3 linked regions of the Kluyveromyces lactis genome follow. The protein of the gene in region 1 binds, or shares a complex with, the protein of each later gene. Links are inferred from orthologs where the notes say so. Each region holds a gene or a part of one and is shown on either strand. Other genes may lie near its edges.

Region 1 (2,746 bases):
TAAAGAAGATAAAACAGTTGGCTTGGCTCACTATCACTGAAAAGGCAGGTATCAACACTTTCCTGCAAACCCTTTAATTTGTCCTGCAGATGGATAGAGCTGGTCTTAACTTCGATTAGACAATAATGCTGTTCAGTACTTTACGAGTTAACTCATACTTTAGATACCTAATGGAAATACTTAGCGAATGGGAAACTGAAAACGGTTTTCTTTATATGTGCGATTCGCTGAGTTGCCATTTTTTTTTTTTTTTTTGTTTGACTGGAATAATTTTTTCCATCGTTATTTTGGAATCAGTCATCGATCAAGAAATTACTCATGCATACAGAGGTAGTGGTTCAGTTATGCTTGGCCAGTGGGCACAATGTAGGAGAACTGCGTAGATATGAGAACAGAGGTAGAAATGGTAGGAAGTACATATAACATTTAGCCATGGCTCATCTGTATGGCTACTTATATGAATATATATGAAAATGTATATAGATCACTGCAGCAGTTCTGATCACGTGCTATTTGATGTGTCTTTTTATCTCATCTCAATACATCAATGTGTCTGTAGAACCATTGGAAGTATCATTGCGAGATCTGTCCCTCCTTGATCGGTAGCTAGAACTTGCAGTTTTTTGGAAATTTGATGCAGGTGAGGATATTGGACTAGTTGGTTGATAAGAATGGGAATGCCCTTGTGGAGGACCTCTTCTTTCGAAGGTATCGTGTCTTCTGATGGGTCTTCTAGCATGTTCATGCATCGGTCTTGTTGAAGCACCAGTTAATTTATTTACGAGATCTTTCCTTTGGTAACCTCGTCCTCCTAATCCTCCACCTAGACGTCGAGGTTTGAAGAATTTCACCGTTCTGCCTCTTTCTATATCAACGATGGATGTTCGGCCCATGATTTCTATTCCCTTCCTTACACCAAGCTCTCTGAAACACTGTTTGGAGTCTTCATAACTGGTAAACTGCACAAAACCGTATCCTCGGCTCTTACCGTCTTGGTCTCTTACTATTCTGCACGATTCAATGTCGCCGTATTTGACGAAACTCTTCTGTAGTTCAACTTCGTCTACGGCATAGTGTAACCGTCCGACAAATAATGTGCGGTAGGGGTCACTAGAAATGTTTGCATCTGATTCAGGGTGCCACTCTTGTATTTTCTTCATCAACTCCTCCTGTTCTTTGTGCGATTCGTTCATGGCTTCATCATATACTTTCAAGTGTTGGTTCTCTGATACGGGATGGGTTGCCTTCTTATACTCTGAAACATGTTGCAACACGGCTGATACACCAGTGAGTGCATATTTCTTGTTCTGGTTTCGCCTTACTCTCACTCTCGATGGTGGTAATGGTGGACCTTGTGTAAATAACTTTGATACTGAAGACGGAAGTTTGGTCAAAGTGTGAAAGCCATTATGCCTGTTGTATTTCCTCGTTTGTGGTTTCATCTATTAATTGGAATGGATATGTGCCAATATTATCTTTATTGATGCGCTTACCGCAGTATCGAGGTTAAGGTGTATGCGCTGAGGTAAAGTGTATGTAATTATATTCCATATTTTTGGCGCATCTTTACTATTTAGATGTTAAATGTTACAATTTTCACATAATTGATGGAAAAACCTTAAAAAGAGTGTGTCAAAATATGTATTTTAATGTGAATGCCTTTGACAGAAAGAAGAACCCAGAAAGACAGTAGATTACAAGGTCTGATTTGGAAAAATGAAATTGAAACAGTTGTTTATCTAACAACCTGGAACGGTTTATATTGAAAAATAAATGAATGTACATGAATATATATATTTATTTATATGCTAACTTCGTAAAAGAAATATTATTGGAATCATACTGAGTACTGATTATACGGCAGCAGTCTGTTTCTTACCGTGAATTAATTGATTTAGTAGATCGGAAGAATTGCTTTGTGGCTGGCTCATAACTTGCTGCGCCATGCCTTGCTGCGCCATGCCTTGTTGGGCTTGTAGTTGCATTTGCAGTGAAAGCTGTTGTTGCTGTTGCTGTAATTGCTGTTGCTGTAGCTGCTGCTTCTGCTGTTGTACTAATTGTGGTTGCTGGACAGCAATTCCCGGTGGTAACATGGTAGGTGTAGCCTTGTTTTGAATGAATGGCAGAAGAGAGGACATGTGGTCCACAGGTTTTATAGTAAGCAAATCACATAGTTTGGCACCCAAGACACCTTCAGATTGCTCACTACATCCAATCTTCTCAAATGAAAAAAGTGATGGGTAACTTTGATATGTTTCGTCATCCAATAAGTTGGAGTTGAATGTGTAGCTTCTTTCAGGAATATCTGATAAAAACTTAAAAGTTTGATCTAGGAACTTAACACATGTTGCCATTGGATCGTAAGGATCCTCGTATGTCTTTTCGCCCTTCTTCTTCGAACTTACGTTAGAAGAAGAGTTTGCTGTTGGGGCAGATCCAGTGGTCGTAGGAGTGCCTGGACCTGGACTGTTCAGAGTTTCCCCCAAGGAGCTTGACAACGTAGGGAAAGTGGTAGAAGTAGAAGTCTTGTTGAAAATAGTAGAAACTGGTGTGGGTGCTTGAGATATACCCCATGGGTTTGAACCAGATGGAACTGGAGCTGGTGTTAGCACAGGAGCGGTTTGCTTCGAGCTTGAAGTTGCAGCTGCTGGCACAGTAGAGTCATCTGTTCTCAATGAAGCATGAGCAAGCTTTGGCGTAGAGCTTGCACTTGTAGACGGTTTAGCAAGTGTAGGTGGTGCATGTG
Region 2 (2,973 bases), on another chromosome or scaffold:
TCCCTAAGGAGCGTGTTAAGCATCTCATTTCATTCAAAGAGTCACAACTAGATAGGTTCCGTCCAGTTGCCGGAATAGAAACCGGTAGTGCCTCTGAGCAAAGTAAGCCTTCTCTTGCAGAGATTAAGGATATTATCAACAGAACTTCTGGCCCATTAGGTTTGAAGAAAGATCTATTAAAGAAAGTTCAAGAGGCTTTACCAGAAGAACATTTCAACGATACTCAAATCCAAGAACAGATAAGATCGTTGAATGCTATAATGAGCGATAAATATAAGAATTATTATGCTGTAGGGGACAAATTATACAAGCCAGCAGGTAACCCAATTTATTACAAAAGATTGCATGACGAAATCGAAGGTAAGGGTAAGGAAACTTTCTTTACAGCTATGAGAACTGTCGTATTTGGTAAGTAATTTCGGTTTCAGGGTTTTAGAGCTTCGTATGCATATATGTATATATCATTTCTGTCTTTTTCGTTTCTAGTGTATCTGTACTGTACAGGCCTCCATACACTGACTGTAAATAATTTATATTCAATCTATTCTATTTATTCTGTTTATCTGTTGCTGATAAATGTACTATTAAAGCGTAGATTGTTGGTTCCAGTTCCGACCTGTGAACGCTTTGAATTTATTGATTCGCATTGAAATGTAGAATCATTTCTTGGCGTATCCAATCTTTATCGTTACATTCTTGAATGGATGATCATGACCTAAGGTTTCAACAACTTTAGTGGCATTTGCTGTAGAATCATATTCAACAAAGCAAAGATTTCTGACACTGACCAATCTAACCTCTTTAAATCCATCTGAGACAAATAACTTTTCCAATTCTTGCTGAGTAACATCTTTTGGAAGATTTTGAACCAATAGGACATGGTGAGGGGGATTTCCGACAATGTCAAAGACTTTTTTAGTGGAGGAAACTTTCTCCGACTGCTGTGACATAGCAGTCTTGTTGGTACCTTCAGGATTTGTTTTTCTGGGCTTTGAAAGAAGCTTCTGTATGGTTTCTTCGTCCAAATCCTTCTTTCTAAGCTTACTTCTAGCTCTTCTTAACCTTCTTTTCAACACTTCGTTTTTTGTCTTGGTCTTGGGCTGTGAATTATCCACAGCTTTACGTGTACGTAACCGAAGTTCATCCTGTAGCTGTTTCTGTTGTCCCTGGTAGTACAAAGCTGCGAAAGAATCCGTATTCGCCAGCTTTATATTTATCTTTCTCCCATTAATCTTGAGCTTGCCTTGAAATTCTATAAGGAACGTATTACAACTGTCTGAGTCCTTAAAAGTGACGAAACAAGACCTCCTCAAGGGTCTTGAGCCATACCTTGATACCTCTATGATCTGATACTTTTCATCGAGTACTGGTGTAACCGCATCAGCCTCACTAGTTTCTTTCTTCGAGTTCAGATCGAATCTTGTACTAACATCATTTGAAATAGAACGATGATCTGAATTAACACTTGATAGTAGTAAGGCTCTGAATTTGGACAATGAGTCGGGCCTCGACGGTAGATTCGACAGATATAAGGTACTGACCATTGCTTGCCGATAGATACTAGCTTTGTATGGCATGTGTAATAACCTAATAGAGAAGGATATCACAACCTATTAACAAATAGTCCATACGTATTAGTATTAGTAAATTTGTTGACAATGAAAGTTGTTGTTACGTTAAGTTAAGATTATATGAATAACTAAATACTAAATAGAAATGTAAATACAGTGAGAACAAAACAAAAAAAAACGAACAGAGAAACTAAATCCACATTAATTGAGAGTTCTATCTATTAGAAAATGCAAACTCCAACTAAATGGGAAAACAGATAACCTCTTTTATTTTTTTTTAATGTTTGATATTCGAGTCTTTTTCTTTTGTTAGGTTTATATTCATCATTTCAATGAATAAAAGAAGCTTCTTATTTTGGTTGCAAAGAATGAAAAAAAAGGATTTTTTCATACTTCTAAAGCTTCAATTATAACCAAAAATTTTATAAATGAAGAGAAAAAATCTAGTAGTATCAAGTTAAACTTATTTCTTACCAGCCTTGACAGCGGCCTTGGTGACCTTACCGGCCTTGTCAGTCTTGTCAACGGACTTGATAACACCGACAGCGACGGTTTGTCTCATGTCTCTGACAGCGAATCTACCTAGAGGTGGGTAGTCAGAGAAGGCTTCAACACACATTGGCTTAGATGGAACGAACTTAACCAAAGCAGCATCACCGGACTTCAAGAACTTTGGAGAGTCTTCCAACTTCTTACCGGATCTTCTGTCGTTCTTTTCCAACAATTCGTCGAACTTACAAGCAATGTGAGCAGTGTGACAATCCAAAACTGGAGAGTAACCAGCAGAGATTTGACCTGGATGGTTCAAGACGATAACAGTGGCGTTGAAAGAAGCAGCAGCCTTTGGTGGATCGTTCTTGGAGTCACCACAGACGTTACCTCTTCTGATTTCCTTAACGGAAACGTTCTTGACGTTGAAACCGACGTTGTCACCTGGTAGACCTTCTTCCAATTGTTCGTGGTGCATTTCGACGGACTTAACTTCAGTAGTAACACCGGCTGGGGCGAAGGTAACAATCATACCTGGCTTGATAACACCGGTTTCGACTCTACCGACTGGCACAGTTCCGATACCACCAATCTTGTAGACATCTTGCAATGGCAATCTCAATGGCTTGTCAGTTGGTCTGGATGGTGGTTCGATAGCGTCAATAGCTTCCAACAAGGTCTTACCCTTGACGACACCGGACTTGGTTTCCTTTTCCCAACCCTTGTACCATGAAGCATTGGTGGTGGCTTCAATCATGTTGTCACCGTTCCAACCAGAGATTGGGACGAATGGAACAGTCTTTGGGTTGTAACCGACCTTCTTGATGAAGTTAGAGGTTTCCTTGACAATTTCTTGGAAACGAGATTCATCCCACTTAACGGAATCCATCTTGTTAACAGCAACAATCAATTG
Region 3 (2,319 bases), about 660 kb from region 1:
CGTAATACATTTGTGGTACAAAGAAGGACATCAGTAGAAGATAAAATACTAAAGCTGAAAAGTAACCATGAACAGAATATGTCGAAATGGTATTCGCTACACTCACAGCTTAACATATACCTTGACACGGTACCCTTATCAACAAAGACTAGATCAAACTTAATCGATCATGTCAATGGTATAATAAAAAGAATAGAAATGGTCTCATATCAAAACGAAAGACTTGATATATACGTTAAACTCTTGAAGCTTGTATTTGGTCTGGAACCAAATCCAAGTGAATATAATCGATACGAAGCCAATTCCATCGAAGAGAGTTTCTTATTTAACCAATAATCAAAAAGTTTTGGCCAAGCTTCGATCTCGGAAATAGATTGAGCGATGGTTCAATGTTTTTACCGACTAAAACTTTAAAAGTATCATTCTCAGAATGCCATAAATTGGAAACGATGGAAATTAAGAATTCATGCATGTAAATATACAACACTGTATCAGCGTATGAACAGTAAAATAACAAATTATAGTTCCTTAAGATAGAAATCGATATCCTATACTCCTTTGCCGGTATCCGCCGTCTTTTTGTTATATAACCTGTCCGTCTTATTGCTACCCACATTCAAAATTCTGGGACAGCCATCTCGGCTTCGTTCAGATCTGTGGCAGTCCCAACAATATAACGCTTCATGCGTTCCAGGACTTCCGCAAATTATACACCTGCTTCCACTACTTCCAGAGGAGCAAGAGTCGCATATCCGTACCTTAGAAATTAGCCTTACATCTGAATCACATAAGGGACATCTTCCATCACATCTATCACAAACCTTCCCTACAGAGGTTCCAGGAAGTTTCATGCACATAACCAAGTCGTACTGATGGCGAGACATCTTAATCCAGTGATAATAATAGTAATATAAATAGATTAATAAGACCTGACGGTGTATGGGGAAAAACACTTAGTTTTCTGTTCTTTGTTTTAATATGTGGGTTCTTTTAGTTTTGATATCTAAGGTACAATTTTATAGAAGATGGGCTTAAGTGGCAGCCGTTGATTTAAACAGGAACTGATCTACAGGATAGGCCAAAAAAACGAAGAAAAGTAGGTTTGGAAACCGTTCATATTATATGACCCTCCGAGCAACTACATTATATATCACAAGATGATTGAAATATGTGGTATTTGTTTGGAATCTATGAATGAAACTGATCAAGGGGAGCTTTTACCCTGTGAGCATAGATATCATGTTTCTTGTATTAGGAAGTGGCACTTATATTCGAACGATTTTAAGTGTCCTACATGCAGAAAAGAGTCCAAAAGCCTTCGCCGTAAACATGATGATATCGAGATTGATTTGAAGTACTGGTGTAATGTGTCGTTGATCGAGCAGTTTGCCAAGCTTCGATTACTGAATGATGATGAGCAAGAAGCAGTAGCAGCGATAGAAGAGGAAGAGGAAGAAGAAGAAGAAGAAGAGGAAGAGGAAGAAGATCCTAATGGCAATGGTGACCAGGATACACTACAATCGGAAGAGATCGGACATCAGCCACAGAATAATAATGGCATGCAGGGAGTAGAGCTCTTGCAATGTGCCTTATGCGGTGAAATTGATGATGACATAACGTTATACTGTGAATCATGTGAGACGTTATTCCACTCTTCATGCCTGAATGAGTTATTGTGCGAAGTCGGTGAGAAAGAATGGTGTTGCATAGAGTGTGATGGTACTCTTTGTAGACTACGTGGGAACAAAGTATCTTCAATGGTAATACGAGATTCGAACGTGAGAATTTACGATGGAAGGATGAGAGATAAGCGAAGTATTCTTACTGAATGCATTTACAATAGATTCGCACAACCTTACACCATCAGTTACGAGGACAAATGCAGGATACAAGGATACGTACGAACAGAGTTGGATAAATTCTACCACCGCGGATCTTTATCGAAGGATCGATACATCGCCATAAACAAAATGGTGTCACGGAAGTTATATGGGTTATCTTCAACTGGGTTCGATCCCAGCAGGATAAATTACGAGGAGCAGGCTAGGCTCTCCATCAGGGAAGTTATGTAATTGTTAATATATTTTGATATCTTTTTGGTAAATAATAATTCTGCCTGTGCATATTGAAAGTTACCATTCGAAACAGAATGCTAGTCCCATCAGCAATGGTATTCTATATCACGAAATATAAAGCTTATCTTCTTCTAGAAGGTGCCTTAGGTTTATTGAATTTTGGTTTGGCAGCGGATTGGGTATTAACTTCTGCACTTTCATCGTTAAATTCTGAGAGATCTAGCTCATCAGAATCACCAATTTC

The links.
Region 2: SNP1 (region 1) and MUD1 share a complex: the UniProt entries of both Saccharomyces cerevisiae proteins name them as parts of the spliceosome. The link is inferred for Kluyveromyces lactis from reciprocal best matches to the Saccharomyces cerevisiae genes SNP1 and MUD1.
Region 3: SNP1 (region 1) and RDS3 share a complex: the UniProt entries of both Saccharomyces cerevisiae proteins name them as parts of the spliceosome. The link is inferred for Kluyveromyces lactis from reciprocal best matches to the Saccharomyces cerevisiae genes SNP1 and RDS3.

Annotation. Positions count from the first base shown.
Region 1 is NC_006039.1:703,663-706,408, forward strand, and holds SNP1 (U1 snRNP complex subunit SNP1), read right to left. Parts: upstream 1,443-2,746; coding exon 537-1,442; downstream 1-536. Other genes in the region: CCR4-NOT core ubiquitin-protein ligase subunit MOT2, read right to left, coding at 1,854-2,746. UniProt on the Saccharomyces cerevisiae protein: Involved in nuclear mRNA splicing.
Region 2 is NC_006038.1:785,463-788,435, forward strand, and holds MUD1 (Mud1p), read right to left. Parts: upstream 1,578-2,973; coding exon 660-1,577; downstream 1-659. Other genes in the region: CBP6 (Cbp6p), read left to right, coding at 1-416; TEF2 (translation elongation factor EF-1 alpha), read right to left, coding at 2,035-2,973. UniProt on the Saccharomyces cerevisiae protein: Involved in nuclear mRNA splicing. The principal role of the U1A is to help fold or maintain U1 RNA in an active configuration. It is the first snRNP to interact with pre-mRNA.
Region 3 is NC_006039.1:1,359,132-1,361,450, forward strand, and holds RDS3 (U2 snRNP complex subunit RDS3), read right to left. Parts: upstream 885-2,319; coding exon 549-884; downstream 1-548. Other genes in the region: Arf family guanine nucleotide exchange factor SYT1, read left to right, coding at 1-336; ubiquitin-protein ligase ASR1, read left to right, coding at 1,158-2,072; twinfilin TWF1, read right to left, coding at 2,197-2,319. UniProt on the Saccharomyces cerevisiae protein: Required for pre-mRNA splicing. Involved in regulation of drug sensitivity and may play a role in multidrug resistance.